Drosophila melanogaster: one gene and its partners. The protein of the gene in region 4 purifies or fractionates together with the protein of the main gene of each other region. This does not show direct contact. Each region holds a gene or a part of one and is shown on either strand. Other genes may lie near its edges.

Region 1 (8,909 bases), on a different chromosome or scaffold from region 4:
ACTTATTAGACCATAATTTGTCTGTAAAGCTGTTTCTCCACCTTTGCAATAACAATTTTTTATTACCATCTCAGCACTCATCACTCAACGTGACCATGGAGAAGGTGTTAAGGCGATGCAGTCGCCTGCTCCTCCTACTGCTGCTGCCACTTGTCAGCTTGTGTCCAAATGCATTGGCACTCAATCGACAGGCGGATGCTGGCCAGGCTTTGGATATGGCAGCGCAGCTGGCGGATGCGGAAGCCGAAGCCAGGCCGGATTACGATGCCGATTCCCCGGATACGCCGCACATACGCAAGAAGCGACTCATCTGGATTACGGATGATGGCAGATTGGCCCTGCCGCCGGGCACTTCGCTGACATTCGTGCCAACCATTGCCATGCCCCTGGTTCGGCATCCGCCCGAGGGATTCTTCTCCAACCTGACCATCAGTTTTCCCGTCACCAGTGCGTAGACAGCTCTCAATGTCAATGATTAATCAATTAACTCTGATTTTTGTTGCCTCAATCCACAGTTGACTTCGACAAACTGGGCCTGACAGACAACCAAAATCCTCTGGGGGATCTGCCGCCGCTGTTCGCCCGCTCCTTTGGTCACGAGGCAGGCCACATGGTTGGTGAATATGTGGCGAGGTATCTGCATGTCCAGCGCAGGAAGAGGGATCTCAGCGAGCAGCGGAGCAGAAGCAACGAGGATCATCCCTTTAGGATACACGAAGAGGGTCCAAAGTATCCGGAGCTGCCAGCCGGACTGCAGCATATTTTCCATGGCGGAGAGCGGGTTTTGCTCTATGGCGTAGTGGAGGACTTTCTATCCACCTTTGGCATGGATGGCAAGGCCTGTTTGCTGAGAACCATTTGTGAGATGCACTCACGAAGTTTGGAGAAGTTCGGTGTCTTTGGAGAAATGACAAAGCTATTTTTAACGTGAGTAATTTCCTCCTTTCAATCGTGATTCTTTGTTACACAGATCTCTCTTATAGGGTAACCAAATCTCCGTTTTCCGACCTGGTACCCGACTATGTACAAGCCCAGGAGGTGGGCGAGGGAAAGCAAGCACCAGGAGAATGTTTTCCCTACTTCAAGGACTGTCCGAAGAGTATATTTAAGGCCTTGTCCAGCAAGTATAGCAAACCAGCTCCTGCGAGCAAGACGAAAAAGACAAAACCCACAGACAGACCGGTGGGCGAATATCATGAGGAGCAGGTCATTCAACTGCCCACCACTCGGGATCAGGACAACAATGTGTATATGTAGAACAATGACCAACTCCCATGCGAACCCCTATTGTTGACCTCGTCTAGATGTTAGGATTACGATTGAGTTGAGCGCGTCCTCAAAGTCACTTGCTTGTAATTAACGTGTACTAATTAATTTATAATTATTTATTTTATTTACGCATTGTATTTATTGTTAGTCGTAGGCGTTGTTAATTGCTTAGATTTGTATCCATGTTTGTCTAGTGGTCTGTAAATAATTGAAATTGTGGCATAATTCCTTCCTTTCAACAAATGAAAACGTGTCGAATGAATAGAAAATAAATTTCCCTTGAAAGGTGCTTTATAATTGTTTTCATTCAAATAACAACTTACGGCAATAATGGCCAAGATATGTACAACATTGCGTTTTTAGATTTAAACTGGCGCCAAAAACGACAACTGCCTGCATTGCACAGCACTATCAGCAGTTACAAATCAAAGTTTGAAACCAAATTAAAGTGGTTACACTGGCAGCTAGATTTGGGTACTCTCCATGTTTTTGTGAAAGTAATATATGAAGCAAAATAATACTTAACGGTACTTAGTGCTCGGTTTGTAGTTATGTAATTACTTAACTAATTGCTCATTTTAAAGGGAAGATTTAAATTCAAATTTTGTGTATTTATAAGAAGAAGAAAAAGGCACTTCTGACAACTATCGAGAGTAAGACATCGATAGCGTAACGACTTATCGAAGGAACCGTCGGTCGTCAGACCATCTCTAGGTCAGCTTTGTTTTGGTTTTGCAGCGAAAAAAACATCAGCGTCGTGAGTTCTCTTCGCTTATTTACCAAGCCTCCCACAAACAAGCCAGAGCATTACGTGTTGCACAGATGTTTGCGGATCGTCGAGGAAATCAATAAACGAAAGGTGAGTGCTCCTGGGTGGGGGCCAGCTGGCGCTTCAGAACCGCGAAAAGGCGGTGCTGTGAGTCAGGCGATGCGATCGCTGATTGAATTGGATTATCACGATAGGAGCTCCCATCAAATTGCCAGCCGGCATTGTAGTTGTTTACATTGCGCGGACGTGGCGCAATATATTTTTAATCTTCTGCGGCAACCTGCTGATTAAGATACCCCCGAACCGTTTCATTGTATAGATAACTTGGCAGTTGAACTCCGGAGCTGGAAGAGGATGGACACGAACGCTGGGGAGTCGCTGGGAGCATCGCCGCCCTCGAGCAATGAGGCAGCGGCGGGATCACAGTCCCAGAGCGATGCCTCCGAGGAGGAGGAGTATCTGGACAACAGTATCGAACTGAGGGGCTATCTCAGCAAGTGGACGAACTACATCTATGGATGGCAGCCACGCTACATAGTCCTGAAGGATGGTACACTCTCCTACTATAAATCCGAATCGGAGTCGGATTTCGGGTGCCGCGGAGCCATCAGCCTGACCAAGGCCACCATTAAGGTAGGACGGCCGAAAAGAGAGAGGGTGGAGCTCCTTCCCCAAGTGCTTTCAATTGGACTAATAAAAAAGTAATGGGCGTGAGTGTGTGCGCATGTGTTTGCGACACATTAACCAACGATGACCGCGACCTGAGGTCTCCGTTTCCATTCCCAAGCCAATACACCCATTCCCAATCCAATTCCGAGCGACGCAATCAATGCAGCGCAATCAATTAACGTTGGGCGACCAAAATAGACCAAAATTGAAGTCATCAATGTAAGTGGGGTACCCCTCAGACCTAGGCGCTGCTAGAAGGCCTTCTGTTGACAGGAGGGCGTGTTGTTCTAGGAGGGTGTTTCGCCATGAGTGTGTACTTATCTATTTATACTGTAGGAGCTGCCAAAAGCATATACACAATGCTGACTCACTAGAAGCGGCCCTTCCATTCATTCGCCTTGACTTTGCGAACACTGATCTTATTCAAAGATATTGAAGCCTCATTTAGTTCAAAGAATTTTTCCCAACAATCCAAATAATAATTATCACCGATTTAATCGATCATGATTGGATTACTTGGATTACTTTACAGTGAAACCAGCTCACTTGTAGTTTAAGTTACTAATAATTGGATTTATTTGCAAGTGATTCATTTAAAATTTTAATTAATTTTCACAAATTTCTCTTAGTGTTTTGACTCATTCAGGTTCCACTGTAATTTCCATTTGCCAACAATAATCTTGTATTCGGGTGTTTTCCTTGTTGATTTCATGTTTACCACTGATTTGCGTTCCGCTATAATCAACCATTCAAAGTTAATTAGGTTTTTTTTTCGTCGAATTTATTGTATTTCGTTTTAATAACTGGCTTATTACTGGCATGAAATTTTCATTTAAAATATAAGTAAGATAAACCGTTTATTTGTACCTATTTTGTGCCTTTTACTAAGTTCAAGTTTATTTTTCTTTTGTAGGCCCATGAGTCCGACGAGCTCCGATTCGATGTTGTGGTGAACAACTTAAATAACTGGTGCCTGCGGGCAGAGACCAGCGAGGACCGCATGCACTGGGTGGATGTGCTGCAGCTGTACAAGGCGGACTCCGGCAGCACGGACACCACTTCCTTGCGCCGCCATGGCAGTACCATGAGCCTGCAATCGAACACTATCTCGCTGACCAGCGGAGGAAGCCTAAAGAAGACGCAGCGCAACCTGCGCGAAAAAGTCGGCGAGCTGGAGACCTTTAAGGATATACTATTTGGACAGATCGAGACTCTGCAGCGATACTTTGATGCCTGCTCGGAGGTGAACAAAAACAATGCGCAACCACTGGACCTGGGCGACGGTCTGAAGTCCATCGATTTCAAGGTAAAGTAGTGCACTTATCGGGCCATTGGTATATGTACAGTGTACTAAGCAAAACACTCGATTTTCTCAGGGCGAATCCATCACGTTTCGGGCCACAACGTCCGGCGTGCTAACCACCCTGCAGCATTGCCTAGAAATCATCGCCGAGAGCGATGAGTCATGGAAACGGAAACTGGAGCGTGAAATAGATAAGCGTCGACGTTCTGAGGACCAAAGCAAGTAGGTTGACCTAGTCGGAATAGATTCCTACAAGAAGAAGCAATTTCAATTACCTTTTTTGTATTTGCTTGAAAACCATACGTTTCTTTAAAAATTATCATGCTATTTCATGGTTTAATTTATTTAAAAAAGGATTAATAATGTATTTAAATTTAATGTGTACATTCATTTCTGAAGTTTATTCATTTAAACGATATTAAAACTATGGTAAAATTCTATGTTTCTTCTTTGCAGAAAGCTCAAGGATGAAGTTGAGAAAATGAAGCGTCTATCGTATCCTGGCCCAGATTTCGAGGTGAGTTCAAGTTTACAGCTCTCGTAAAAGCAAAAGCGTAATCGCATTCACGGTCATTGCTGCTCAAATCGGGGCCAAACACGTTCCCACTGAAAATGCAAACAATCGCCGAATGAGTGGCGCGAAATTCGTATAAACGATTTGCGTGCGATTTGTCGGCGTCTTAAAATAAACTGCCTGATTCGACGTTGTGTCAGAGATTTCATCATATGCAAGGAAAGTAGAACACGCTGGACTATTATTCAAGCGTTTTCAATTCGATTATGGAATGCCAGTATTTGGTTCCGAATTTTGGCTGACACGAAGTTCCCGTGTTCGTGTTAATCTGGAATTGGTCATGCAATATCGTTTTTCCGCTTACATTTGTTTGCCCAATCAATTCCATTTTAATGGCATATGTCCACAATAGCATTAGAAAAATGATGCTCTCCTACGAATTGTAAGTGCTCAACTTGGTTGTTATTCTTGGCTCGGTTACTTGGCGACTACTCAGGCTGAAAGACTGGGCGTCTAGACGGTTTCATTAGGCCTGTTTGACAGTTGGGCGTAGCTTAAGATCTACTTCGAGCCAATATTGCAGATATTGACGTTGAATAACGATCCAACCGTTGGCTAGAATGCACTTTGTGCAACGGGTATATTAACTATTACGTCTTCAGTGATCTTCATATGAAAATTTTGTTAGAAAATCCCGATTTAAGTGAACAATATATAGTAAACATGTACGTGATCTTTCACTATACGTTCAAGCTTAGAGCATTCAATATGCGGCTCACTTTTTGAGCTGTGGCTTTTAGCCTGGCTTACAGCTGTCAGGTTTATGGCTTATGAGCTAGGCTGGTCAGTCGGCGGTTAGCGATCGAGTGGCCAACACGTAGCAATTATAAACAAATTTGCTAGGCAAACAATTCAAAACGAGACTGTTTCTTTTTCATATTGGTCGTGGCATTTAATTGAGTGTGCAGATTGTGAAATTTCTTGCGTTGCATTGAAAGAGCTATAATAAATAAACAAGTGTACACAATTGTAGCAATCGCTAGTTCATGTTGCAAATATAAAAGCGCCGCACGCATCACTGTACAAATATACAAATTTATAAAATTATAAACAACGTCAACGCTATGCCCTCGGCGCGATTTCTGTGGCGCTCCGGCGGATTTCAGAAGGGCAGCGTTAAAAAAATAAAGGTACACTGAATTAAAATCATAAATAATTTACATAAAGGAGTGGTGGAATATATTTTTATAATATGTGTTTCGTATGGAAATATTTCAAGGCGTATTATCACTTTTATAAACAATAAACGTTTCAATATATCTCCAAATAAAATTTGATAACACTTTTAGTAATTTTGAATTTTTTTTCTATGTGCATATATAGCTGATAAAAAATATTAACAAACATCGTTGTGTTTTTGAAAAATTTCTAATCAGCTATGAATGTGGAATGTCAAATATTTTTTTATTATGATAAAAGTATTAGTTCGGAAGCATTGCTTTGATAAAATAATGGTATTTTTCCTTAGTGTATGAAATGTTGCCTAAAATAAGTTTCATAAAATGTTGATGTTGGTTTTTTCTAACCAAATTGGCCTCATTAGTGGGCCACCCCACTCGCTTTTGAATGTTGAATGTTTGAAGTGCGGTGGCCAAAGAACCCCAAGAATTGATTTATTATTTAAATGCAAGAAATCCTATCCATTGGAGCTTTTTGCTCTGTGCGCTTTTCGCTTTTTACTCTCAGTCGCCCGCTTTCTCCTGCTCTCTTTTTTTGGCCTTCTCTCTGCTCCGCTCATCCTGGCCAAGTTGGCCAGTGCGTTTGGGCCACCAGCAACAGTTTGTTTTGTGTCCTTGTGCTCGACGGAAGGATTCGCCAGGACACAAGTGCGCTCACTTTTCCTGCTTTCGCCTGCCACGCAACCCTTTCTCTCTCTCTCTTTGGCTCTCTTGCGGTGCGATTCCTGATTTTTTCCTGCTGAGAAGGAGCCTAATTTTTGCCGCCCAAAAACCTCTTCGCTTTTGTTGGGTTCAACTGCAACAATTGGTGGAGGAGCCTGGTAAGAGGAGACATAGCGACGCCACAGGAATAAGTACGCATATAGCCCATGTCTTCATTGTTGGTTAGCTGCGAGTGCCGCTTGGTCAAGATGATTATGCACTCGAATTCACGCCGCAGGGTGTATTTATTTCACCGCCTTTGGCTGCGCACATCTCTGCTTTAATTAATAAATATCAATTCAATTCCGCACAAATTCCATTCGAGGCATTTATTTTGCGCCGGTTGCCGTTCTGGGGATACACGCGCCAGTCGCAGACGTCAGAATGTGTACAGTGAACACTGGCTAGCACAGAATGGAGCGGATGTATACCTCTAAAGGGCCGAACTTCAAGGGACACTTTTCCTATATATCAATCCTAATTTCAGCATAATATTCTAAATACTCTCAAAATATTATGATTTTGTTTGTATATTACAGTAGCAATTTGGTAAACTCTGTTGCGAAATTCGAAACACATTGTTAGGAGGAAAAGAATTTTATAAATGGCAAATTTATCAACTTAATTAAATTTCGGCAGTATTATTGTGTAGCTTATTGGTGGTTTTTCCCCACGAGATGCCACTGCTTTAATGGGATTCAGTACCAAGTACCAAGCCCCGTCTGGCGGTCTTCTGCTTTCGTATTCATGGCACAATGATGCGCCTTTGTGTCCATTATGCTCGCCCAATTACGCATGCCAGCCGACTACGAGAATCTCCGCCTGGCGACTGGTCAGGGTATGGAATGGGCGAAAAAACAACAGCATAAATTTGATTTTCTTGGGCCATTTGGCCGCACAAGTGTCGGCGATTAATTTATACAAAGCACGTTCCATTTCTTTCCAATTGGATTGAATGCGGTTTCGTCATTAAAATTAATTAGGCCGAACCTTCAAAGATGCTTTTGGGCTAAACTTGACTTAGTTTGCTCGATGCTAATGGAGATATATGTATAATATGACATTTCCCTTTCAATTTCGCAGGAGGGTCCACATTCCACATTGCCCGAGGATGAGTTCTTCGATGCGGTCGAAACGGGCCTGGACAAAATCGAGGAGGACATGCAGCTGCGCTTCAAGCTTAAGCTGCAGTCCCAGATCTCCCAGACACTGGTCAACGTTCCACACGAGGCGGTGGCCGAGGGCGAGGAGGCGCGCGAGGAGTTCGGCACGGGTGCGGAGGCCACCAGCCATGCCCTGTGGCCGGAGGTAAGACCGGAAATTGCCAATCTGGCCCCCTAACGACCAGCCAATAATTGGATTTATCCCGCAGATCGATCGCGTGTGCAAGGAGCAACTGCATTACGCACGCGAGGGCGTTGGCCAAGACGGCAACGGCTGGCAAATCTTTGCCGACGAGGGGGAGATCAAAATGTACAAACGCGAGGAGGAGGTCAACGGGCTGGTCATGGATCCCTTGAAGGCCTATCATACGGTGCAGGGCGTGACGGCGAGGGAAATGTGCCATTACTTCTTCATGCCCGAGTTCCGAAATGACTGGGAGAGTAAGTAATTGCAATAAACTGGGTTTTCCCTCAATTTCTTTTGGTTTAAAGCACGCTCAAAAGAAACAGTGGCGTGCGCATAGATAATTCATAATTTTCTACAAACAACTCACATGTTGCAGCTATACAACTTGTTGCTTAAACTTTTTATTCTATAGCCACTTTGGAGGACTGCACCATCCTGGAAAAAATCTCGGCGGACACCCTGCTTTTCCTGCAAACCCATAAGCGGATATGGCCGGCGAGCCAGCGTGATGCGCAATTTTGGTCGCACATGCGCAAGATCACAGACAATCTGGAGCCGGGCGCCCGGGACATGTGGGTGGTGTGCAACAACTCGACGGAGTACGCCAAGCAGGAGTCAAAGAATGGAAAATGCGTACGGATCTTCCTGACCGTCATCCTGGCCTGCCAAACTCATTTGCCCGAGGGTTATGTGAAGGGACAGCCCCTAAATCGCAACGATCTAACCTGCAAAATAACCTACTGCTCTGTTGGTGAGTACCTTTGTCCTCGAATTATATTAATCCATTTAATTTGTGTGGTTTTCCATATTCAGTTAATCCTGGAGGCTGGGCGCCAGCGAGTGCTCTGAGAGCCGTCTACAAGCGCGAGTATCCCAAGTTTCTGAAGCGCTTTACGGGATACGTAATAGATCAGTGCAAGGACAAGCCGATCATGTTCTGATATTTGCCATAAGCAAGAAAGCAATCAAAACCAATCAAAGCTGAATCGTCTCACGTATTTAGCTCAAACTTTATCCTTAATAAGCCTCCAGTTTGTGGCCTCAACTATATTTTGGAATCTGTTTTGCTACTCCTTACTACAATTTTATAACCAT
Region 2 (7,197 bases), about 17 Mb from region 4:
GTAGGTTATAATGTTATTGCACACTTGTCGATCGTATTGGTAGCGGAGCAACAAGAGAGCCGCAGCCGCCTCCAGTTCCAGAGCACTGTGGTTGGCCATGGCTACGTCGGCTGCGTCGGAATCTCTTACTGGCGAGGGAGTCGCCTGTTTGCGTTTATTCAACATGCGGTACTTCATGATTAGACTGTCGAGAAGGAACTGATGTCCTGCTTGTCTCAGGGCAAAGTTTATATATCCCAAGGATGTACCTGCTTATGGGCCACCCGTTCTCGGGCTCTACCTACCAATTGGTCGGTAATCCGAGTGGCCCTAATAAGTAACCACCTTTGGCACAAGAAGTCAGGTAGGATCCTACTTCAGCGAAAATAATATTTCGCGAATTTTATTGATCCTCGCTATATTCAGCTAATCCAGCCTAAAACCCTAAACCAGGTGCTCGTCTTTTATAAGGCAGATGGTTTAGTCAAATTCTGGGAAAATTCCAAAAAAATATGTACATTTAAATTCTGTGCCGTTGTGAGACAACTCGGACAATAAACAAATGGGTTATATGATTGAAGTAAAAAAAATAAGTTCCAAAGTTCCTACGATTTATTTAAATAAGAATCAAAGCAAAATCTCTTAGGATTAGTTAAATAACGGGTGCCTCAGGATCAAAAAGCGGATTTTTCAACACCGAAAATGAATAATTTGAACAGTTTAGTTGGTACGGTGAATTTTTTGTCAACAACTTTCTGGTGCTTGGTTTATTACGAAAGTTACACACAATTCAACAGAGACCCGCTTGTCTACGACTTTTCAATATTTACACGGAGATATGCACTTTGCTGCTACATAACCGAATCAATGTCGTTGACTACAAAATAAGGTTTATTCCAAAAATAATAAAACTAAAATTTCTGTTGCATTGCGTCATTGCCGTTCGTATCTAGTTGCAGTTGCAAATGTACACAGTAAACACAGTTAAAGGCATTCGGGTTGGATAGGTTCTGTTCGGTGCGTGCTGATAAGCATATCAGGGTAGCCAGATCTTCTCCATGGTCCCTCGGGACTCGCTGTTCTCTACGCGTGAATCTCGAACAGTTTGGCCACCTCATTGAGGTCATCGTACTTCTTATTCTGATTGATTATTGTCCTAGCTAAGCCTATCCGATTGAAGAGGTTCCACAGCAGGATGCCGACGATCTTGTCGTTCTTCAAGTAGAATATTACACCCTTGCCATAGTTGCCCGCCTCATCGGGATCACAGGTAACGCCATCTTGGCTAGCCCCGGCATCAGATTTTGACGACTGGCTGGAACTCGTACTGGTCTCCGGCACGTCGGAATCACTAGACTCAGACAGTTGGTCAACGCGCGTGGCGGATTCCGAGGGCAGGGCGAACACACCAACGGTGGGTAGCGAGGAATCCACCAAGCCAATACCCTCGTATCCGATCTCTGGACCTAGATCGGACCAAAACATGCTCTGATGTTGATAAGGTTTCTCTGCAAAAGGTACGGCGAACATTATGATCGATCGGTTATTAACTTTAAGCCCAGTAACTTACTTGCTCCCGTCATGTTCTCGCCGGCCAGCCGACCAGAGACCACCGAGTGATCATGGTGCTCCACCCGTCGCCTGCCCAGCAGAGGATCGAAGAAGCAGGAAGCATCACCGGCCACGTACAGGTTCCGCCTGGCCTCCAGCTCTGCATTAACCACAAAACCGCCGAGACTTCTGTCCACCTCTAGCCTGCTGGGTCCCGCGAGATCCGTGTTTGGCGTGCAACCCACGCAGACCACCACCACGTCCGACATCAAAGTCATTCCATTGTTTAACTCCAACTTTAGATTGGTTTCATCGCGAACTGCCGAGCGAATGCTGGCGTTGGGGATGACGCAGACACCCTGGGCTTCCATCTTTGCCGTCGTCCAGCGACTCAAGTAGTTTGGAAGGACCTTTGACATGTTGGCATTTTCCTGGAACACCTGGTACACTTTACCGCCATTGTTCTCTCTGGAATAGTGTGCCAGGGAGCAGGCCAGTTCACTGCCGATAAATCCATTGCCAACAATTGTGATTGAACGCTTTTCCGCCGCCAATTTGCGGAGGCGATCAAAGTCATCGGGTGTGCGATAGACCATTACTTTTTCGAGCACGCTGGGCGGAGCATCACGCAGCATGGGCAGGTTCTTGGGGGCACAGCCGGTGGCAATTAGGCATTCGTCGTAGCTTATCTCGTAACCGTCGTTCAACGTCACTATGCGTTTTTGAGCGTCCACCTTCTTCACAGAGAAACCTTGAGCGACGGCAATCCCTCCATTTGCATTATCATCCAGATCCTCGGGGTCAATGAAAAACTCATCCGGCTCAAAGAACAAGCTGTGAACAGGAAGGGAATAACTTAATGGGTTTCAATTATATAAAAAAAGTTATTCAGACCTACCTTCTCTCGGATCCCGTCCATTGTTTGAATCGATAGTCCTTGATGGGATCCTCGTTAGGATTGGGCGTATACCACAGTTCCTTGGACAGTGGGGGGCGCATGTAGGGTTTGCGGAACTCGTTGCTAATCATTAAAACCTTGGCTGTTGCATCGTTAGACTTGATGGCTCGGAAAGCAGAGAAGGCAGCGGTTCCGCCGCCGATAATCAGGTACGGCACATGCTTGGGAAGGTCCTCAGAACTGGGCGGACCTGCGCATAGAGAGAAAGTGATAAGTTACCTCGGCCTATCTTGAAAATTGTTGTAATTATTATCCAATCATGATGATTTTGAGGTATGTATAAGATAATGCTTATCTGAATCAGTTGGCAAATGTGGTTTAATCTAGCCTACCAATTCAAAAATCTATGGTTTTCGCTTTACTTACTCGTGGCTAGTCCAGCAACTAATCTACGTTTTCGTTCCTCCTCCTCCGCCTCGGCTTTTTTGGCTTCACTGTCATCCGTATCCCGCGTCATAAACCAAGCGAGCTATATGATAGCAAAGTAATTAGAGAATATTTCCTTTAGATATCAGATCGAAACATACAAATCCTCCGGCTAACAAGGCAGCCAGGGCACCCAAGAGGCACTTAAGCCGTAGGTCCTTCATCCGACACTCGCACTCCTCGTCTCCACCATCACCGCCACCGGGAGCAGTACCATCCTCGTCGCAGGGCTGGCAGGTGGTCTCCTTTCGTTTGCGCTTGAATTCCTCGCAGGGACTAGTCGCTTTGCAGGAATCCAGGACGGGTTGGCTGGTGCTGAGCTTTGCACTGTCCGACTTTAACACATCCTTAGCACTGCAGACGGACTTGACGTCAGCAAAGCCCTGGAAATTGATTATATTGTTTAATATTTGTTAATAACTCTGCAAGTCTTTGATGGGGATGCAAACTGGTTTCTGTTTAATAACCCAGCTATGTTTTCGCTAGTTATCAATTTCACAAGGCTTGTAGGAAGTTAGTTTGCATCCCCAACTTATCCAGCTAATGCAAATGGATGGTGAATGGTATGAACGATGGGTACCACTTTAAAGAGTGGCTCCGATTGGGAATGGGCTTGAAACTGGGCATTGGCGTAGGCGGGAACGCCGGCTCCCTCCACCGCCGTCTCGTACTCTTCAACGGGGGGCGTGGTCGAGGGCTTGGTGACGCAGACTTGATGATTTGGATATTTGTTGGCTTGCAATTTGGTGCGCGCCTCAAGGGTGCGTTTCTTTACCATTTGATAGAGGCTGCTGTGGGCTGGCCGAAGAGGAGCTGAAATCGACGTGAATGCTAGTTAGTTATCGGCAAAAACATGAAAACACGGATCGGTTTGGCCAGCCGGCCATAACCTCACTTACCGTATGCCGGCGGCGAGCGCTGCGGCACTGGACCCAATAGCCTTCTGTTGGCCAGGATGTACGCCTGCCGGATGAACCTCTGCGTCAGACATCGGACCCCCCAAATACTCATCGTGATTTGCACTGGCTGCGGAGTAGGTGACACCACAATCCACAATTGTGTAACGTAACAACGTTGTGCGGCGAAAGAAACGTGTGTTTTGCGAGTTCGTGTTTTATTTACAAAAAAACCAATTTCTATGACAAATTTCTCCGTGTGAAGTCCGGCGGTGTTTAATTGATCTCGACTCCTTTATCCCTCCTTGCTTTTGGGTAGTCCGCGTTTAATTTATATTTATTTTTCATTCCCTCGCCTGTCTTGTTTTTTTCTGTCTCTGTCGCAGTGTGACCGTCGCAATGAAATGGGAAATGGCCCAGCGCCTATTCGAAATTATTTGGCTTGAAAATAGCCACTTTTTATCAAAAAGTGTTCGTTGGTTTTTGAAATGTTGAACAATATTTAATTTATTTTGAGCAAGTGAAATTTTAAAATCGAACTTACAAGCTCTTTGTTTTGAAAACGATAAATATTAAAAAACATGTTAAAATAAAGATGTGCTTCCAAAATAAAGAATAAAAATTCTTATGAATACCACTTATGTATGTTGTCAGTACAATTGTGCATTAATATATATTAAATACATGTGGGAACATTCATTTATCAGCACTCGCTTGCTGCAAAGCGGCTGCAGCAGCTGCTCCACTTACGGGAGGCTTGATGTCCATTAGTTGGCACAACTGGTTCCGCAGCGGACGCACCTCCACCAGCGGCTGGGTCCAGTCCGTTTCGGAGAGCAGTGTTAGGATCTCATCCATATTCTCCTCGGGCACTTCGGTGACATCGCCGTGCAGAGCCAACGCTTCGTACAATTTTGTGGCAGCGGTTTTGCGAACGTGGACGTGCTGCAGTCCAAGAAATACTGAGAGCTTGGAGAGGATGCGTTTAGACAGGCGAGGAACCTGGAGCAACTGGCAAAAAGCACTGATGCTGGTCGCAGTCTTGTACAGCTTCTTGTAGCCCTTAACCTCCAGGTTGAGCAGCCTAAAGATATCCTCTGCAAAGGGATTTGCTTCATCGTGTAGAACCGATTCTACAGTTCCGGAGCCAATGAGTATATCCAGGAAACTGAGCAGAGGATAGGTCACGCGCTCGTTTAGTAGATGCTCCTCGAAAATCTGGACCACCTCGGAGCAGAGACGCGGAACAGTCTCAGGATTGGAACGCAAGAAGTGGAATAAGGCACTGGAGGCATACTTGATCTGCAGGAAGAATATTTTAGAGATTGATATAGAGGTGGTCTATACAACTTACAAGAGATTCAGTCAGTTGACCAATGCTGGCACTCAGACCCAAAAGAACTCTTTTAGAGTAATCCGGCAGAGAGAGCAGCTCGCAGAACAGCGGGAATGTGTGATCGGCAAATAACCAAAGTACGGAATCCGCATCCGCGGGAAATATTTCCAAGAGTTTTGAGTGCTCCCGTATGTAGGGGATCCTCGGCTGATGATGGATCAGTTGGCAGCAAAGGCGACCACCTAATCCACGAGTGCGATCGATCTTCTCCACCGCCTGTTGCATAAAGCCCACGACAATCTCATGCACTTGCTCTGGGGCGAGGAGATCAGGCGGACACGTAGTGACGATTTCGTATAGCGATGACATAGCCGCCTCCCTCACCCACGCTCCGATGTCACCACGGTTGTCCAGGGTGTACTCTTGAAGAGCTCTTAACAGGCATTCGATAACCTTGTTAAAGTTTTTCGGCTCAGCAAATGAGTCTGAAAAAATAATTGTATACTAAGATTTGTTCACATTCTTAGCCCACAACTAAGATCATTGACTCACCAATTCCCCCTCCATATCCCACGGTCTTCACCAACTTGGTCAAGGCCAGCACGCTCTGTGTCCGTGCCTCGCTCCACCTGTATGCCTGGATGTTCTCGCGGTCACCCATTTCACCCACCAGAACTGCTTGCAGTGGAGTTAGGGAGTGCTTCACCAGACTGTCCAATATAGCCTGCAGATGACAGCGGATCATAAAGGATGGGAGCACACCCAGAGCAGCAATGTAGCCCATGCGAATGTGCTCCTCCAAATCGTTATCTGCACCTGTTAGATAAGTGTTGATTATGGCTTCGTTTTCCCCGTGCCTGGAATCTGAGCAGTAATAAGTGGTACAGAGTTCACCGAACGCTTCCACCGCACCATCCCGAATAGCGTTTGATTTGGTGATCAAACAGGAATCGATGACTTTCTGCCAGGAAACTGAAACGAATAAACGCAATTAAATAATATGCTTGTTATACTTTAGGGACTCTTTTCCTACCCAAGCACTCCGGCGTAGCCTGCAACTTGGCCAGACTGCAGTTCTTTATGTAGCTGCTGGTGCAAGATTTCATCAGGTCGCCGCTCATTCCGCGATAGAAATTTTTGTCTAGGAACGTTATTATTAGTTCATTCAGCTCCGCAACCCGTTGGTTGGAGAGGTAAACCACTTGGGGATCACTCTTTTCCTCTAGTTTCCGTAGGGTCAGTGTTATTTCTCCCATGGCTAAGACACAACCATGCCGGCAGTTAATATCGATGGTGTCAGTTTTTGCCAGCAGTTGCGGCAGCACCACAGCGGCCATGTACTCGGGCTCCCAAAGGGATAGTTTGTGCAGGGCTTTGGCTGTCAGCTCCCTTATAGCCGAATCCCAATGGCTTACCTTATGCTGAACTAGATGGTTAATCAATGGTTCCCTGTACACCTCAAACTGTGCAATGTAGTCACTGATGTTTAGATAGGAATTCTGCCTGATGCCCACGGAATAGAAGTCCGTCGTGGTGGAGATTTCGATTCCGAAGGGAAAGTTGCCCAGGCGTCCCACACTTTCCTGAAAAGCTGCCGAGGCAGCCCGCCTGCAGTTCACCTCGCGGTCGAACACTGCAACGGTCAGCAGGCCAGATGAGATTTTGTGCACAAATGGCTTCACATCATCCGGATTGTAAGCCCTGGCAAATGCCCAGCACATGTAGCAGGCTGAATCTCGGATGTGTTGCCCCACCGACATGTAGCCCTTCATCTCGTCGTAGAAGAGCGCCTGCATAAGGAGGGGTACTAGCTCCTCCAATCGATGTGGCAGCAGCAATCCCCTTTTTGCCAGTTCTGCCAAAGCCAGGCATGCACCATGCCAGGCCTCGTGGGGTTCCAGCGGGTTGAGTATATCAATCACAGACCCTATAACCTCATCGGCCAGCTCCTTGGGAAGGCGATTGGTGACTCTGCCTAATCCTTTGGCGGCGCTCCAGCGTATATCGTTTCCTCCGCTTCGCAGTGCCTGGAGCAGCTCCTCAATCACCTC
Region 3 (6,802 bases), on a different chromosome or scaffold from region 4:
AGCGACGCAGCGAAAAGTCATTGTGATACTGCTTTGGATCCGCCTCCACAATCAATTTCATGCGCTCCTTGAGATCCTTGAAGTCCTGCTCGTTAATTGGCGCCAGCTCCTCGGACGACATATTGTAGAGCACGAATCGCTTCCTGACCGGAATGCAGACTGGGATTCCGTGCTGGAGAGTCGCGGACTGGAATCGGAATGTGCTGACACTATGTGAAATGCAAGCAGCGCTGTTTATTTTTACTCGGAAATGTTTTTTCACAAACGGAACGGATTTGTTTTTTTCTTTTTTTTCGACCAGTGTGACCGGCTGAAACTCTCTAAAAGCTGTCATTTGCGTTCCACAACAATACTAAATGCAAGCACGAAATACCGAAAAATTACCGTTATTGGTTGGAACCGTTACATTTTAATAAAAGCTTTAATTGATAATAAATTTTGAAAAATATTTTAAACTATATAGTAAAGAGAAGAAAACAAATTGAAACAGAGCTGAAATTAGTTAACATTTTTATTTTTTATTTCAAGCTCAAAGATGTTATATTCTTAACTTCCTACTTTAAAATATGGAATTGTAAATGATTTAGCTCTGTTACTTACACTGTTACTTTCTAAGATTTTTGAATTCATGAAGATTTATTTGTATTCATCTTTAAACATTTTGAATATATATCTCATTTCGTTACACAGTTTAAAAAAAAAAAGAACAAAATAAATAAGACTTTCATCGCTATTTTGAACAGCCGAGATAAAAATAAATTCACGTGCACTTCATATGGCACACGTTTTATAAACAAACATGTTAGATATTTCGGAAATAGCTGTTATTGTGTTTAAAATGTTAACAATACATGATTGGTTGGCAGAAGCAGGCCACAAAAACACGAAATATGTAGAATGCACAACTCTCTCATATCGGCCACCTGGGACCCTAAGTATTAGCTACAAATGCAGAGATTCCAAAATTGAGATTTCTATTGCTTGATGGTCTTCAGTAAGCTCCTCCTACTTGGGCACCATGACGCGGGCTATGCCCGGCAGGACCTCAGCTTGGAGGGGCCCGAACTCGACGCGCTCGCCGTCGACCGTGATGATGCCGTGATTGTCGTAGGGCTCCAGGCGGAATGCTCGCACTGGCAGCACCTTCACATGGTCGTCGTGCGACTCCGGCAGGTGAGTGCCGGAGCTCATGTTGTAGAGGAAGCTCAGCAGGTGCGGGCGGCTGATGCCGGCGCGTATGAGGATCAGGTAGATGGTGCCGTCGTTCAGCTGGGCCTTGGGCGCAAAATGACAGTCGATGCCCAGATGGGTCTGGTAAACGGCGTGCATCATGACGAACTCGCCCTCCTCCACCAGCCAACCCTGATCCTCGGACAGCGGTTCGTTCAGATCCGGCAGCTCGCTTGCCGGACCGTAGTTCTGCTGCCGGTTTTCCAGCGAGGCGGCCGCCAGGCCGGCGAACTCGCTCTCATCCGCCAGACTGTGGTAGATGCTCTCCGATATGGAATAGTAAAAGCTGCGCCGCGATCCCCCCGACAACCAGCTGTCGCACCTCGAGCGGAACGACTGATTGATGGACGTCTCCAGGGAGATCACGTCCGCAAACTCCTGTGGCAGGTACTCGGCACTGGAATGATAGATGGGCGCCGGCCCATTTAGCATGTCGATGTGCGTGTTGCAGCTACGGCTGCTCTGCATTCTCCGCTGGGCAGCATAACCGGTAGCGCTATGGGTTGAGGACACCTCATGGTCCGTCAGAAGATAGCTGATTCGGCCGTTGTAGGTGCGCAGATTCACCAGACGGTAGAGGGTCCACACGGTGAAGCGCTGGTAGCCCAACATGCGAATGCGCTCGCTCTCGATGTCCACGTCCGAGATCAGACCCCAGCCGATGGACAGGAAGGAGTAGAGGGAGCGACTCTGCAGCTGCACCCGGACCACGTCCATGGGTGAACTGCGTCCACTGATTACGGTCAGAGCAGCTCCTAGCACTGGCTTGCTGAAGTATGGTTCGCTGGGGAGAAAGGTTTCAAGTGAATAGGTTTCAACACAAGACTGATAATCGGATTACGACCAATAGATCGGATATGAGACACCTGAATGTGGTTTTAAAGTCTATAAACATTCTTTTCTATTACCCTTTTTATACTCTTTTATCGGGAAGTTGAGCTATAGATGAACATAAAGAAAGAACATAAAGATTTCAAAGTTCGATGATATGCCACTAAATGTTGAACGAAATTGGGGGGCAATTACTTAACGATGTGGAAAGTTTGTTCTAGTCTGACGTCAATTTAACTTTAAGGGGATATCCCCACTTGCAAAACAACAAAACCATTTGACACGATAAGAAAACTACTTTTGCTTATGAATGTAATCTAATGATAAACTGCATGGCTAGACGCTGGAGGGATTGTTTTACACGAAATATGAAGATCCACATAAGTCAAAAGGGGGTTTTTCCTAATGAAACATGAAACAAAGATAACATACTTGTAACAATGGGCAATGGAGCGGGCCAATCCATTTCCGGAGCCGCAAGGAATGATTCCCAGTGCCAGATGAGGCAGGACGTGGGCCCAGTCCTGGCGCTGCAGCAGTCCATTGACTATCTCGTGGAAGAGACCGTCTCCGCCGACAGCCACCACGCAGCACCAGGCGTCCAGGCACCTGGTGCTCAAGAACTCGATGGCAAAGTTGGAATGCTTGGTTACATACAGGTCGTAGGGCACCTCGGCCTCGTTGAGCACCGGCGTCACGTGCATGTTGAAGACCTCACGAGCGTCACCGGAACCGGATTTGGGATTCAACAGCACAAGCACTCGACGGCGTCGCTCATCCACCGTCGGCGCCACAAAGATCTCCTCCAGCGTGCGATGCAACTGCCAGCGAAGGGATCTGTACCAACGATCCGCCTCCCTCATGTTGTCCTCGAAGGTGTCGAACGACCGGAAGCGCAGAGTGAGCACCGTTCGCTCCCGGTGCAACTCCGACCGCAGGCTCCTCTTCTTCAGAACATAGGCAAAAACGTAGAGAAACGCGCTGACATCGCCGCCATCCGAAGGAATATTATCCCGACTATTGGTGCTGCATTTGCTTGGTGTGGTGGCAGGGCGATGGTGATCGCCGGACGCCGAGATGGCTGGCGAATTGGGATTACCGGAGCTGCACGCACAGGCGCCCGACATCGCCAGGCGCCGGCTCTTCTTGGGCCGCATGCAGCGGGCACCCACAATGTCCGATATGCGGACATGTTGCTCCTTAACAATGCTACCGCCCGGCGACTCCCGCTGCAGGGTGAATCCTGTGGCGTCAAGGCGCACCCGAAATACGTGGCTGCCCTTCTTGCGCTGGCTCGTGTAGAAGGTATCGCTCACGTCGTGGCCCTCATCCGCATCCTGCGTTCCCGGGGGCGTGGCCCTGGAACTGGCCGAGCTCGGGCTGGTGGTCTTATCAAGAGATTCGCTCATTTCGACTGGAGATTCGGCTGCCAAGCAGCATGTTTCAGGTCTTTTGTGTCCAGGCTTTTATGGATCGCTTATCATCCAATCATAGCCGCAGTGTTACCGTCGGTGGCAGGCGCGAATATACCAACTGGCACAAATAAACTCAAAATTCTTAGAACTTAAAGAGGCTAGCTTAAGGAAACTATTGCAATACAATGCAATAATACAAATGAATCCACAAAAACGTCAGCTCATAACAAATTTAACTTGTCACTGCATTGAGTGCTGAAAGCTTTTTGTTGATATTTTTCTGTGTTCGAATAAATACCAAAATATATGACAGAATATTTCGTACGGTGCATTTGCGTTGCATTTTTCGGCGTTCGCAACGCGGTCACCCTGCATTTAGTGTTTTGTGAACTGTTAAAGAATCCGATACGAATTTAATTGCTGGGAATAACAATGATGCAGATGAGCGAGTACAAGGTGCTCCCGCAGAATGCACCGCAGGACGAGAATGGCGCAGTGGTCCTGCAGCCGCAGGCGGCGAATGTTGGCAACAATGCCAACGGACCTGGTGCGTAGCGATGGACATATATGGATTTGTCCACTGTTGAATTCCATCACTCGGATGGACCTAGTCGGTTGCGCGCGTCTGTGTGGGCTAGTGGGCGTGTGCGAAAGGCGGAAATGCCGTCGTCTCTTTCTTGGCATTTAGTACAGCAGCGGGCATGGCAATAGCACCCATAGTTATCTATGTAAAAAAGATATTTTATAATGTACCAAAAAGTGAAGTGATTCCAAGTCAATACGTAAATACATATTGTTTAAAATATTAGTTTATGTTAAGAACTGCTATCACTGGCCCTAATCGCCTGACCGCCATTGTAGCTATGCTAATTTCCTTTACCCATGCATAGATATCGGAAAAGCACTTTATGCATATAGATAAATATAAATACATAGGGAGCTAATCCGGAACAACGCCCCATTGCAGAAAACTGGATGTCGATACCCGTGGGCATGCCCAACTGCCCGCAGGGACTGGAATACCTGACCGCTCTGGACCAGTTGCTCGTGTCGCAGAAGATCGAGAAACTGGAGCTGCTCACCGGCTTCGAGACGAAGAACCGCTTCAAGGTGAAGAACTCACTGGGCCAGAATGTGTACTTCGCGTACGAGGAGAGCGACTGCTGCACCCGCAACATGCTCGGCCGGTCGCGCCCCTTCGAGATGAAGATACTGGACAATTTTCAGAACGAGGTGCTCCACCTGTACCGGCCCTTCAAGTGCGACATCCTCTGCTGCTTTCCCAGCTGCATGAACGCCGTGGAGGTGTCGGCGCCACCCGGCCAGGTGATCGGTAGCGTTGAGCAGGTCTGCACCTTCATGCGGCCCAAGTTCAACATCAAGAACACATGCGGCGATACCGTCCTGCAGATCGAGGGACCCGTCTGTCCCTGCAAGTGCTTCAGCGATACCAACTTCAAGGTCAGTACGCAGCCAACAAGTGGTTATTCTTGGCTCTCGATCTCGATTCCCAATGCCCAAACAAGTGTATACACACACAGCAGCGGTCAGCGGATTAGCTTTAAATTCTTCGGAGGAGTACATATGTATGGTCTTCATCAGTCAAAGACGAAGCTTTATAAAATTCCAAAATGAACAGTATCAGGCGTCCACTTAATTGCTTTTTTAATTATTAAACATTTATAAGTGCCTATATACATATATTCTAAATAATTATGAACAGACAGAAGCGTTCAAATTAATAGCACCCACACTAGTTTTAAATTTTCAATTGTATACGTTATTTAACAGATGCCTCTAGATATAGGAAAATCAATCAATCAATTTATACTTTTTATGGCTAAAATGCACCAAGTGTTTGTGCCGATCTATGAGCCCTTTTACTGACCGCTGCTGTGATCGTACAGAAGCAAAGAGACTGCAGTCCGAGGCAGTGACGTCATGGTTAGCCATGCCTGACTGTCCAGAGCGAGTCAATTAATTGCGATGCCGCGAACTGCGAACCGATTAATGCGAAACGCAAACATCTCTCGCCCCTTTAACCGCGCACAGGTATTGAGCGCCAACAACGAGGAGATCGGCAAAATCAGCAAACAATGGTCCGGACTGGGAAGGGAGCTGTTCACCGATGCGGACTACTTCAGCGTCACCTTCCCCCTGAATCTGGATGTCCGCATGAAGGCGCTCATATTCGCAGCGCTCTTTTTGATTGTGAGTATATCAGTATATCATATATATCACTGAGTGAAATAAAGCATATGCCAGTGCTATATACTCGTTTCCCTTCATTGATTTGTGTTTGTCTTAATTCCAGGACGCGGTTTACTACGAGCAGTAGGCTGTATGATGAATCGCATTCTAAAGGAACAAACGCCCAAACATTATAATCGCCGACTGCTTTTTGGTTCGACGTGTTGCATGGTCATAGCTCTAAGAACTTTTTAACCCCTTATTTGATTAACGTTTCCGGGAATCTGAACAGTGCAACGCTTTGATCGATACGGAATCTCCGCAGCAAAGGAATCTCCCGCACAACTTGGATCTGAACCGCAGTTGCACCTTCGTTATTTTATGAACCTCGGTTTTGGCATTTAAAGCTCACCACAATGAAGCACTTACTGACAAACGCACAAAACGGAAAACAGAAAGCAGACTACACACGAAGAATCCGACGAGAACGAGTGCCTTATGACGTCCTAGTTATTGTCGTCGCCCCCGTCCCGTTTCCCCAGATTTATATACCTCGACAGACCTAGCTTTGTTGTACGCATAGGTCGGAGCACAGGATAACTTAATTGCAACCATGGCGTACCTAACTAATTTACTATTACCTTTTACCTACTACATATTACATATTACATATATTTTTGTATGAAACTAATTGCAATCGAATTGTTACCCATTAGAGTGGCCTAGTGAGCCAGCTTTCAAGGCATTTTGAGATCGAAAACATCTCCTCCTTTTTGGTACCGCTCCTGTGGCGCCGCGCAATTTTCATCACCTTCACATGTACTTCATGAATTTATTTATATCTCAGTTATGCTGTAAAATAAACAAACTATGTTTTGTACAAAGCAAATGCGAAATATTCACAATCGGTGGCATTGCGGATTTGGATTTTCTGTACAGAGGACTCTAGCGATTGTTCGTTTGCATCGTGATTCAGTCGTGAACATTAGGAATGTAACTGGGCTAGGCTACTAAGGTAATGTGCATCTCTATCTGTCCCTAGTTGTTCTTGGCAAAGTACTTCGTCTTCTCCTCAGGATTGGGAACGATCTGTAAAGGTAATGGTATCAAAAAGAATTTACCTAAGGCAATGCTTC
Region 4 (8,965 bases):
ACCCAAGGCCAAGAAGGCGGTTGTCAAGAAGGAGCCGGGAGAAAAAAAGCCGCGCCAAAAGAAGGAGAACGGCGGCGGGCTCAAGCAGAGCAAGATTGACTTCAGCAAGGCCAAGGTAAGTGTTTCAGTAATTGCCCATATTTGTTTTTAAACCCAAATCTGTATTTAATTGTCAATTAATATTTTTCATCTTTAGGCGAAAAAGAGCGACGATGACGTGGAGGAAGTAACTCCTCGTGCAGAGCGTCCTGGACGTCGACAGGCCAGTAAGAAGATAGACTACAGCTCGCTCTTCTCGGATGAGGAGGAAGACGGTGGCAACGTTGGCTCTGATGATGATGGCAATGCCAGCGATGATGATTCGCCCAAGCGTCCAGCTAAGCGTGGACGAGAGGATGAGAGCAGTGGAGGAGCCAAAAAGAAAGCTCCGCCCAAGAAGAGGCGAGCTGTAATTGAAAGCGATGATGATGATATCGAGATTGATGAAGATGATGATGATGATTCTGATTTTAATTGTTAAGGAACACATTTCCACACAGGATATTGATAGAAGATGGACTCTTAGAATCAGCATTATCCGCATCGAGAATCTCGAGGAGGCACTTTTTTTTGCGGACTTGCTCGCCACGATCGTTCGTTATTTTATAATCTTTCAATGTTCTCCTCGATGTTAACGTCAATGTTTTATAATTCGTGTTTTTATTAACTATAGATAAACACTTCGCTACATTCGTTCACTGTAGCTGATTCTGTTCCAGAGCAGCAAGAAAGCCACCAAGAGGAATTTACAAACGTAATATCGATGTATTAACATGTTCCATAAAGATAGTTTGTAGTCTCATACGAGTTTTCTTCATGTAAATAAATCACTTTTGCCGAATGGCTAATACATTAAATTTCGATTGGTTTTTTGGGTAAAAAAAAAACACCACTACGGGTTAGGAATAATACGTTTTTATTCGCGAAAGCTACACAAATCGGAAAGTGGGAAATAAAGGTAATCTCTTCTCTAATTCTCTTTACGACTCCGCACCCTCCAGGAAAGTCTTAAAGGAATTCTTAATGTTGTCGTTGGCAAACGTTGGTTGCTTGAGAGCCTCGCGAAGAGCAAATCGACAGTTCTTGACATCGTAGTCCGAATGGAATACCTCCTTGCAGGGCAACAAACGGAGCTGCATCAGTACATAGTTGAGTACACGTGTCTCCTGCTTTGTCTTGATGGCATAGTCAAAGGTGGCCTGGTACAAGGAGACGGCCAGATCCAACGCAGCTTTCGAGGATTGCGACAAATGCGCGCACTTCAAGGTGGTGAAGACGAGCAGTAGCAAATGGTTGTCGCCGGTGAATTGCTGTACAAAAATGTTACGTTACTCTAATTGCATTCTAATTATTGAGAATATCTTACGTTGACAATCGACTGCAAAGCCTCAAGTTTGTTATCCATATCTAGCGAATCGAAATCTTCCTGGGAGCAGGGTTTCTGGCTCAAACAGAACTTCTCTGGAGTGCATTTTTGGCTGATCGTCTTGTTCGCGACCGCAAAAGTTTCGCTGGCCATCGAGTTGGTTGTGTCGTTAAAAAGCTGTGAAAATTTAAAATTAAAGATAATTCGATTAATTGCTGTTACCATTTGCACAGTACTCCGAAGTATAAACTAACCTTGGTCGTGTAGGCATTCGTAGTGACATAGGCAGTCTCCTCCGCGACGTTGCTGTACTCCTCGTCTCCCTCGTCTTCCTCGTCGTCCTCGTCGCCCTCGCTATCCTCATCTGCTTCTTCGGTAGTATCGTTGGCGTGCTCGTGTACTTCCTCTTCCTCTTCGTAATCTGCGTCCTGCTTGTCAGCCTGGTATTCATCTTCCAAATCCTCCTCTTCCTGGTGCTGAAACGGTTGCAGTGCGGCAGCAGTTGGCAACTTACTCATCTCGCTGATTATCTTCTCGCTGCCTTCTTCTCCAAAGCTATTGCCATCTAGATTCAAGATGCGTAGCTTGGGCTTGTTTCCCATAGCATTCACCAACACCAAGCCGCCGTCGCTGTTGATTTCGTTAAAACCTAAGTCGATAACTTCCAGTCGTTCGTTTCCTCTCTCCAGAGCCTCACCGAAGTGGTAGGCGCCATTAGTTTTGATCAGGCAGTCTCCAAAGCTCATTTCACGCAGCCTGCAAAGCAAAAAGATATCACATAACACTCACTCACTCTCCCTCATCAAAAACTTTATAACCGACTCACAGTGGCAAGAAGGGAAGAGCCTCAGCTATTTTTTCAGCTCCCTCGGACTTTAGAGTATTGTCGTTCATGTTTAGCACTCGTAGATGAGGATTATGCTTGAAGGATTCGGCAAGGGCCTCGACGCCTTCGATGTAAATGGAGTTTTGCTCCAGAACAATCTCCTCGAAGGTCTTGAGGGTTTGGAATGCGGTTGCCATTTCCGTAGCACCGGCATCCTCGAGACGATTGCGCGAACCTATGAACACACGCAGCTGGAGCGGGAAGCCCGCCTTGTTGGCATTGGCATGCAGATCGATCAGAGCCCGGGACAGCATACTACCGCCCTCGGGACCAAGGCCACAATTGCACAGCAGCAGCTCCTGCAGCGAGTAGCAGACCGGGGATCGCAGTAACTCCTCTAAGCCTCGCATGCCATTCGGTCCTAAGGCATTGTCGCTGAGATCCAGGACTGTCAGTTTGGCGCCCGCGACAATTAGCGCGGCTCCCAGGTGCTTGAGTGCCTCCGGAATCTCCGATATGAGACGACCAGTAAACATGTTCTTCCACAGCGCCTTCCGAAACTCTGGATGACGCTTCAGACCCTCACCAATCGCCTTGGCGGCCTCAACGCCCAGTGTGTTCCCGTCCAGATTCAGATAGTGCACGGTGGTCTGTTTGTTAAGGGCATCCACCACATCCTGGACTGTAAAAAGCCTCAATATAGCCACTGCATGGAGTACCCAAAGCGTCACCCAAACTTACCATCGGCAGCTGTGTTCCAGGAAAGCACCTTGTTCTCGAATGATATTCCCTGCTCCTGGCCCAGTTGGGCGGCCATGCTGGCGAAGTTAAAGGTGGACATGCTTGCTTTTAAATGGAATTATTTTATACGAGTGTATATAAGTCGCACTGTACTTTGCGATTGCAGCCGGCTTGCGAAATTTATTTTAACCTCGCAAAAATGGGCGCTAGAATTTTGGCATTGCTTGGTATTATTTGCCGGCAAGGGTGGTCACACTAATAAAAACAGTGATGCTCAAGGCAAAAGGGTTGCTGAAGGGTGATGCAGATCTGGTTGTGACTGGCCTAAAATATTCTGTGTTGTGTTTTAGGAAAAACATATTTATTGAAGTTATAAATATAAGGCAATTAATTTACGGATTCCTAGCTGGAAATTAAATGCAATTATCCGAGCTAGCATTTTGAGCTATTTTCCATCACTAATTTAGTCATCTCAGCTACAGCTGCACATTCCCACAGATTCACCAGATTTCAGTGCCTTGCAGCACTGTCCAGCAGCTGCTGACCAACACTGCTCGATGTTGGTTGCAGAAAAAAAACAAGGAAAACAACGACCTGAGATTATGCTGAAATAAATACGCTGATATGAGCTACCGTGCTGACCTGTAGGGCAAACCGACACGAGGCATGTTTAGGAAACTGCTTAAGATGTGGATTCTGCTCCGACCCACCCACTGGCTGATCCTGATAGCCCTGTGCGCGGTCACCTGTGCAGGTTACTGGTTGCTTTGGTCAGAGATTCGCCTGGAACATGGTAAGTGGAGTCCGGTAGTTAGGCAAAACCATATCACTTTTACACCCATTACCTACTTTGTGCAGCCTTCAAGCCGCTTTCCAAGCTGGGCGATTCTCTGAGCCCAGATCAGCATGCCTCGTCCACCACCGATGACTTTGACTTCGAGGAGCACCTAGTGGTGCTTTACAATCGCGTACCGAAAACGGGATCCACCAGCTTTGTTAACATAGCATACGATCTGTGCAAGCCCAATAAATTCCATGTGCTGCACATCAATGTCACTGCCAACATGCACGTCCTCTCGCTTCCCAATCAAATCCAATTCGTGCGCAATGTTTCCAGGTGGCACGAGATGAAGCCAGCTCTTTATCACGGCCACATGGCCTTCCTAGACTTCTCAAAGTAGGTAACATCTAGCCAATCCAGCAGAGCCCGTCTCAATTGCATTACTCCTTTGCAGATTCCAAATCGCCCACAAGCCCATCTACATCAATTTGGTGCGCAAACCGCTCGACAGACTTGTCTCCTACTATTACTTTCTACGCTTTGGCGACAACTACCGACCGAATTTAGTCCGCAAGAAGGCGGGCAATAAAATTGTAGGTAGAGCATCAAGGTATTAACCTCCCTGTAACCAAAGCCCTCACACATCTTTGCAGACCTTCGATGAGTGCGTGGTGCAGAAACAACCCGACTGTGATCCCAAAAACATGTGGCTGCAGATACCCTTCTTCTGTGGCCATGCAGCCGAGTGCTGGGAACCCGGCAGCAGTTGGGCCTTGGACCAGGCCAAGCGCAATCTAGTCAACGAATACTTCCTAGTCGGAGTCACAGAGCAGATGTACGAGTTTGTGGATCTGCTCGAGAGATCCCTTCCAAGGTGTGCCTCCCAACCATATGTTATTGTCTGTTTTAGAATACTCCAGTTGCTTCATTGACCTGTTCTTTTTTTTTCTTTTGCAGAATTTTTCACGGCTTTCGTGAGCACTATCATAATTCAAACAAATCTCATCTGCGGGTGACATCTTCCAAGCTTCCGCCCAGCGAATCGACAATTAAATCCATTCAAAAGACAAAAATCTGGCAAATGGAAAACGATCTGTACGATTTCGCGCTGGCCCAATTCGAGTTCAACAAGAAGAAGCTCATGCAGCCGGACAACAAGCACGTGCAGAAATTCATGTACGAGAAGATTCGGCCCAAATGATTGCAGAGGAGGCGACGGAGTCGCAGAGCGAGGATTCGGCCGACTCCAGTGATCTAACCAGGAGTCTCCGACAATTGTATTGTAAATACGTAATTCTCCTTCGCATAGATTTGATCTGTACTTAAGAGTAACTCATCCGTACACTTAAGCGCTACCTAAGACTTTAGCATTGAATATCGTTGACATATTACTAACCCAAACCTTTTGTACGTAGTCTAAGCTTTAAACGTATAAAACAGGCGAGAACGCTTTTGTAGTTCATCGTAAGCAATATCTAGCAACAATTGTCTGCACAATATCTCTATATGATTAGTCAAATGTACGTTTTATACTCGACAATACAACGGAATGAATGGATGAATTGAATCGATATGCATACGTAGAACTAGAAATAGGTGTAAATTCATATGTAATCGACTCTCATTGTTTGTAACTCTCATAGGCTAGGCCATAAATCTGAATTTGACATTCAAATTAAATGCATGTAAATACCTAATAGATAATGGAGTGTCTGTCCGTCTGTCTGTCTGTATGTCCATGTGAAGCGCGCTGTGCGTATCAACAGCTGTCGCTGGGATTGCGTGTTCGTAAATTGATTAATGCCATCAGTGGGTTACTTTTAACTTTCAGCGTTCTGTACTTCGACTTAGCTAATTGCACTTGGCTGCCCAACGAAATTCCGCCGGACTTTAAAGGCTGACGTAGCTCCGTGCTCGAAGGTGATCGTCTGACTGGAGGACGGAATGACCGAATGGCTAAATGGCGGAATGGCGGTCCGACACGCAGAATGGGCTCAGGCAAGCGCAAGAAATGGCATGGAAATACATTTGGAAACGGCGAGCAGTGAAATACTTAATTAATTGCTCGTGCTTGAAACTAAAAGCAAATGAGCTCGAATTACCCACAGCCCCCGTCAGTCAGTTGATCACTTGATCGTGGAACGCGGACACGCCAGTCGAAAGAAGGTACATTAGCTAGTGTCCGGCAGAAAAGCAGAAAGTTACTGTTGTGTCGAACGGGAGGAGTGATAGCCAAAGCAATAACTTACACACTTACGATCCGTAAGAGGGATTACAAACTCGTTTTTCACTCAGTCACAGTGGCGAAGGCGATTAGTCTTTAAACTACTCGTGTACGGAGCGTTCAAAAGTTCAAGTCTAATTGCATCCAAGTCGCGTAACCATCAGAAGATTAACCACGATACACTGTGCGAAACGCTCAGAACACGCACTTAATATAAATATATATACATATATAAAGCTGTGCCGCGATTGCGAAAGTGCCCCGATGCTATATAGCTAACTTAAAAATTTCGTATTTTGCGACGAGAAATGAAAATATTCCTTCGTTTACATTCTAGAACAAATATAGGAAGTGGACTTTTCGCAAGTGGCAGATGAGAATTTCTCGAAAGTGCTAAACAGTACAAGTTACAAAGTGTATATAGTTACAAAATATAGCAAAGTGGATTTCCTGATAGAAAGTACGGATTTTTTCAATAATAATAATAATAACTATATTGTTTTAAGTCAAGAACATTTCTAAAAGTGCACACAAAGTGAAGAAAGTTCTTGAATTTTGTAGTACTCACTTACTTTCAGTGTACCTTCTGCAACATTATATTTAATAATGTTAATTGCTGTGGAAAATCGATTGAGTGCGCTGCACCGTGAGAAATACCGCACTTGTCTTGGCACTTTAACGTACTAAAAACAATGGAAATAACATAAAATTAATGCTGAGCTCAGTGAACCATTTTCAGGTGAACTTATGCAAAACAAGCCAAAAAAAAAAAAGAAGATCCCATGCGGCGATTCGCGACGTGATCTTTAGAGCTCTTAACTCGAATCGGTCGCTTATAATGACCTATTAAGTCGCGCTGGCCTTACGAGTGCCCGACTATTCCGACCGACCTATGTATATATCTTGATAACTATAACTTTGTCGTACAATACATATGTGCAATGCACGCAGTGCATAAAAGGGGCGGCTATAAAACGATTTGACAAGCAGCTTTGTATTTTCAGTCTTCAAACGCGACCCAAGCTCACTAGGTACATATATCGGAGTCGAACGGGAGTTCCGAAGGATTTCCACTGTACCAGCCAACTATTTGTGGATTAGCCGATTTTCAATTCAAACAAGGTGAGTAATTGGATCTCATATATACATTTGTATATATATATACATATAGAGTGCTTTTCTTTTTAAGAGTGCATTTCTGAGTGTGTAGCGCTAGGGACCATAAAAATATCTTAGCCAGATCACCATCACTATCACTATGTAGCTACGCTCAGCCCTTATTTACGAGGCATCACTGTCTGTCCGTGTTTTTTGCATTGCCTTTTGCTCATTACTGTTGCATGCATTCCCCCCTTTCGCACTCGTCGCTCGAGAATTTCAGACAAAGTTCAGTAACTCGCCGACGACATTGACCCATTTAGCCACCGCCGATGCTCCCGACTCGATCAGCCTGAATAAAGAAATATTAATTTATTTACATACGCTAGCATTTGCATGTGCATACCGGTTTAGTTAGTTGTAAAGTAACTTGTGTGTGTATTCATTCGATCTGCATCGCCATGACCATGCTGACCACTGCATCTGCGATGAGGTGCCTGCCCTCTGAATTCCCACTTGGTGAGCAATAGCGAAATCTGCCGAACCCCATTTTTTATCGTATATTTATTGCAAGTACTATATGCATTTTCTTAGAATTATCTCCCTCAAATAGAATTATTTTCTATATACGTACGTATGTATTTATATAAGGCGCGTGGCTACAGTTGCTCGAAAAACTATACACCAGTTTGTTAAAAACTTATATACAGTTGTGCTGGTAATTGAAAGTCACGATTAGTTCGAGAAAGAGTATTTAAAAGGTATTCAAAATATAAATAATTTAAAAAAAACAACACTTTTTGCAATGCCTTTTGATATGCCATCTAAATTGTTTGGACATCAAGCGAGTATTCATGTAACAATCCATTTGTTCGATGTCAGTAATATCTACCGACTTGTACTTTTTCCATCTCTTGAGTAAGGTCAAAGCACTTTTGCTTTTGAACCGCCATTGTCACGTTCTTCAAAAGCAGGTTTCTCATGCAGGGTTTTTAACACGCTTTTTGCAAAGAAAAAACCGAAGGGCGAAGGTTGACATTGCAATGGGTCGTAACCCCAGAATTACTCATATTACTCGCTTCAAGTTTTTTCCATATACTCGCAGCTTTGTACCACCCAGTTTTCGTCAGCATCCGCTTCGAGATGGCCAATAAAAATTGACCAAATGACCGAAACTGGCCGTAATGAAATCGAGAGTATCATCGCAACGTAAATCCGTATCCATGAATGGCCGAAGTCTTCGCACGTGCGATCGTGCGATTGAACCGATTTGTCCAAAACCGGGCGGGAACCATTTGCTGTCCACAACGCAGAGGGTGCTCGGCTTTGGGACGTGTTAATTATACCAAATATGCCTGGCTTAACACATGGGGCTGAGAAAATAGGGACATATGATATGACATGGTGATGCGGTGTCATTAGATGCGATCTTATGATCTATAACTATGATCTATAAATAGTTGAAGATGCTTTCAAGTGTCCAATGTTTGTGGTCTCCAACAAATTGCTAGTGGGGTGACCCCAGGTGTAGGTACGCCGAACAGGTGTAAGCACTAATTGGCGTGTAGCTGGGCAGCATTGAAACCGGATGGCTATGCACGGGCACGGGGCTTCAGGGTCGCGATGGGAAATGCCTATGCCAAGGGATTTTCAAGAGCCCAATAGTACTGTGGGCGATTACCCGAAGAAAACCCGAATAAATTAGGCAAGTCCAAGTTGAAAGCGAAACTGAAACCGGCTTGAGGTGGCGGTGGCATCATTTCCCAATGACGATGCACCCCAGACCCAGTAAAGCTTGCTCGCTCTCCCTGGGCAAACTCCATGTGTCTCTCCATCTAGCAACTCCACGCTCTTGCGAGGCACGTGAATGTCATGCTCAAGTTCAGATTC

Evidence for each region.
Region 1: the proteins of RanGAP (region 4) and cert purify together in Drosophila melanogaster (affinity purification with mass spectrometry, with the first as the bait; one large-scale study listed by BioGRID). This does not show direct contact.
Region 2: the proteins of RanGAP (region 4) and AIF purify together in Drosophila melanogaster (affinity purification with mass spectrometry, with the first as the bait; one large-scale study listed by BioGRID). This does not show direct contact.
Region 3: the proteins of RanGAP (region 4) and Sk2 purify together in Drosophila melanogaster (affinity purification with mass spectrometry, with the first as the bait; one large-scale study listed by BioGRID). This does not show direct contact.

The regions. Positions count from the first base shown.
Region 1 is NT_037436.4:8,282,932-8,291,840, reverse strand, and holds the start of cert (ceramide transfer protein), read left to right. Parts: upstream 1-1,970; 5' UTR 1,971-2,128; intron 2,129-2,357; 5' UTR 2,358-2,392; coding exon 2,393-2,671; intron 2,672-3,620; coding exon 3,621-4,013; intron 4,014-4,083; coding exon 4,084-4,232; intron 4,233-4,466; coding exon 4,467-4,527; intron 4,528-5,371; exon of another isoform or gene 5,372-5,648; coding exon of another isoform or gene 5,649-5,714; intron 5,715-7,547; coding exon 7,548-7,772; intron 7,773-7,836; coding exon 7,837-8,068; intron 8,069-8,226; coding exon 8,227-8,565; intron 8,566-8,627; coding exon 8,628-8,755; 3' UTR 8,756-8,909. Other genes in the region: CG7201 (uncharacterized protein), read left to right, coding at 96-447, 516-927, 984-1,257.
Region 2 is NT_033779.5:2,148,763-2,155,959, reverse strand, and holds AIF (apoptosis inducing factor), read right to left. Parts: upstream 4,207-7,197; 5' UTR 3,926-4,206; coding exon 3,814-3,925; intron 3,728-3,813; coding exon 3,495-3,727; intron 3,298-3,494; coding exon 3,016-3,297; intron 2,958-3,015; coding exon 2,855-2,957; intron 2,679-2,854; coding exon 2,429-2,678; intron 2,365-2,428; coding exon 1,550-2,364; intron 1,488-1,549; coding exon 1,063-1,487; 3' UTR 855-1,062; downstream 1-854. Other genes in the region: CG15382 (uncharacterized protein), read right to left, coding at 1-177; Tbcd (Tubulin-binding cofactor D), read right to left, coding at 4,507-5,112, 5,165-5,631, 5,699-6,118, 6,180-7,197. UniProt on the Drosophila melanogaster protein: Probable NADH oxidoreductase. Mitochondrial effector of cell death that plays roles in developmentally regulated cell death and normal mitochondrial function.
Region 3 is NT_037436.4:3,043,858-3,050,659, reverse strand, and holds Sk2 (sphingosine kinase 2), read right to left. Parts: upstream 3,574-6,802; 5' UTR 3,471-3,573; coding exon 2,494-3,470; intron 2,015-2,493; coding exon 1,006-2,014; 3' UTR 501-1,005; downstream 1-500. Other genes in the region: CG32485 (uncharacterized protein), read right to left, coding at 1-121; scramb2 (scramblase 2), read left to right, coding at 3,909-4,023, 4,444-4,937, 5,529-5,687, 5,791-5,814; Prx4 (peroxiredoxin 4), read right to left, coding at 6,705-6,755.
Region 4 is NT_033779.5:19,439,293-19,448,257, reverse strand, and holds RanGAP (Ran GTPase activating protein), read right to left. Parts: upstream 6,300-8,965; 5' UTR 6,003-6,299; intron 5,920-6,002; exon of another isoform or gene 5,531-5,919; intron 5,426-5,530; exon of another isoform or gene 4,955-5,425; coding exon of another isoform or gene 4,711-4,954; intron 4,628-4,710; coding exon of another isoform or gene 4,407-4,627; intron 4,347-4,406; coding exon of another isoform or gene 4,208-4,346; intron 4,150-4,207; coding exon of another isoform or gene 3,831-4,149; intron 3,766-3,830; coding exon of another isoform or gene 3,639-3,765; exon of another isoform or gene 3,508-3,638; intron 3,307-3,507; 5' UTR 3,073-3,306; coding exon 2,973-3,072; intron 2,914-2,972; coding exon 2,232-2,913; intron 2,162-2,231; coding exon 1,660-2,161; intron 1,583-1,659; coding exon 1,406-1,582; intron 1,350-1,405; coding exon 1,020-1,349; 3' UTR 941-1,019; downstream 1-940. Other genes in the region: Top2 (topoisomerase 2), read left to right, coding at 1-115, 197-520; Hs2st (heparan sulfate 2-O-sulfotransferase), read left to right, coding at 3,639-3,765, 3,831-4,149, 4,208-4,346, 4,407-4,627, 4,711-4,954; CG10237 (uncharacterized protein), read left to right, coding at 7,537-7,594. UniProt on the Drosophila melanogaster protein: GTPase activator for the nuclear Ras-related regulatory protein Ran, converting it to the putatively inactive GDP-bound state. Trans-acting factor necessary for meiotic distortion.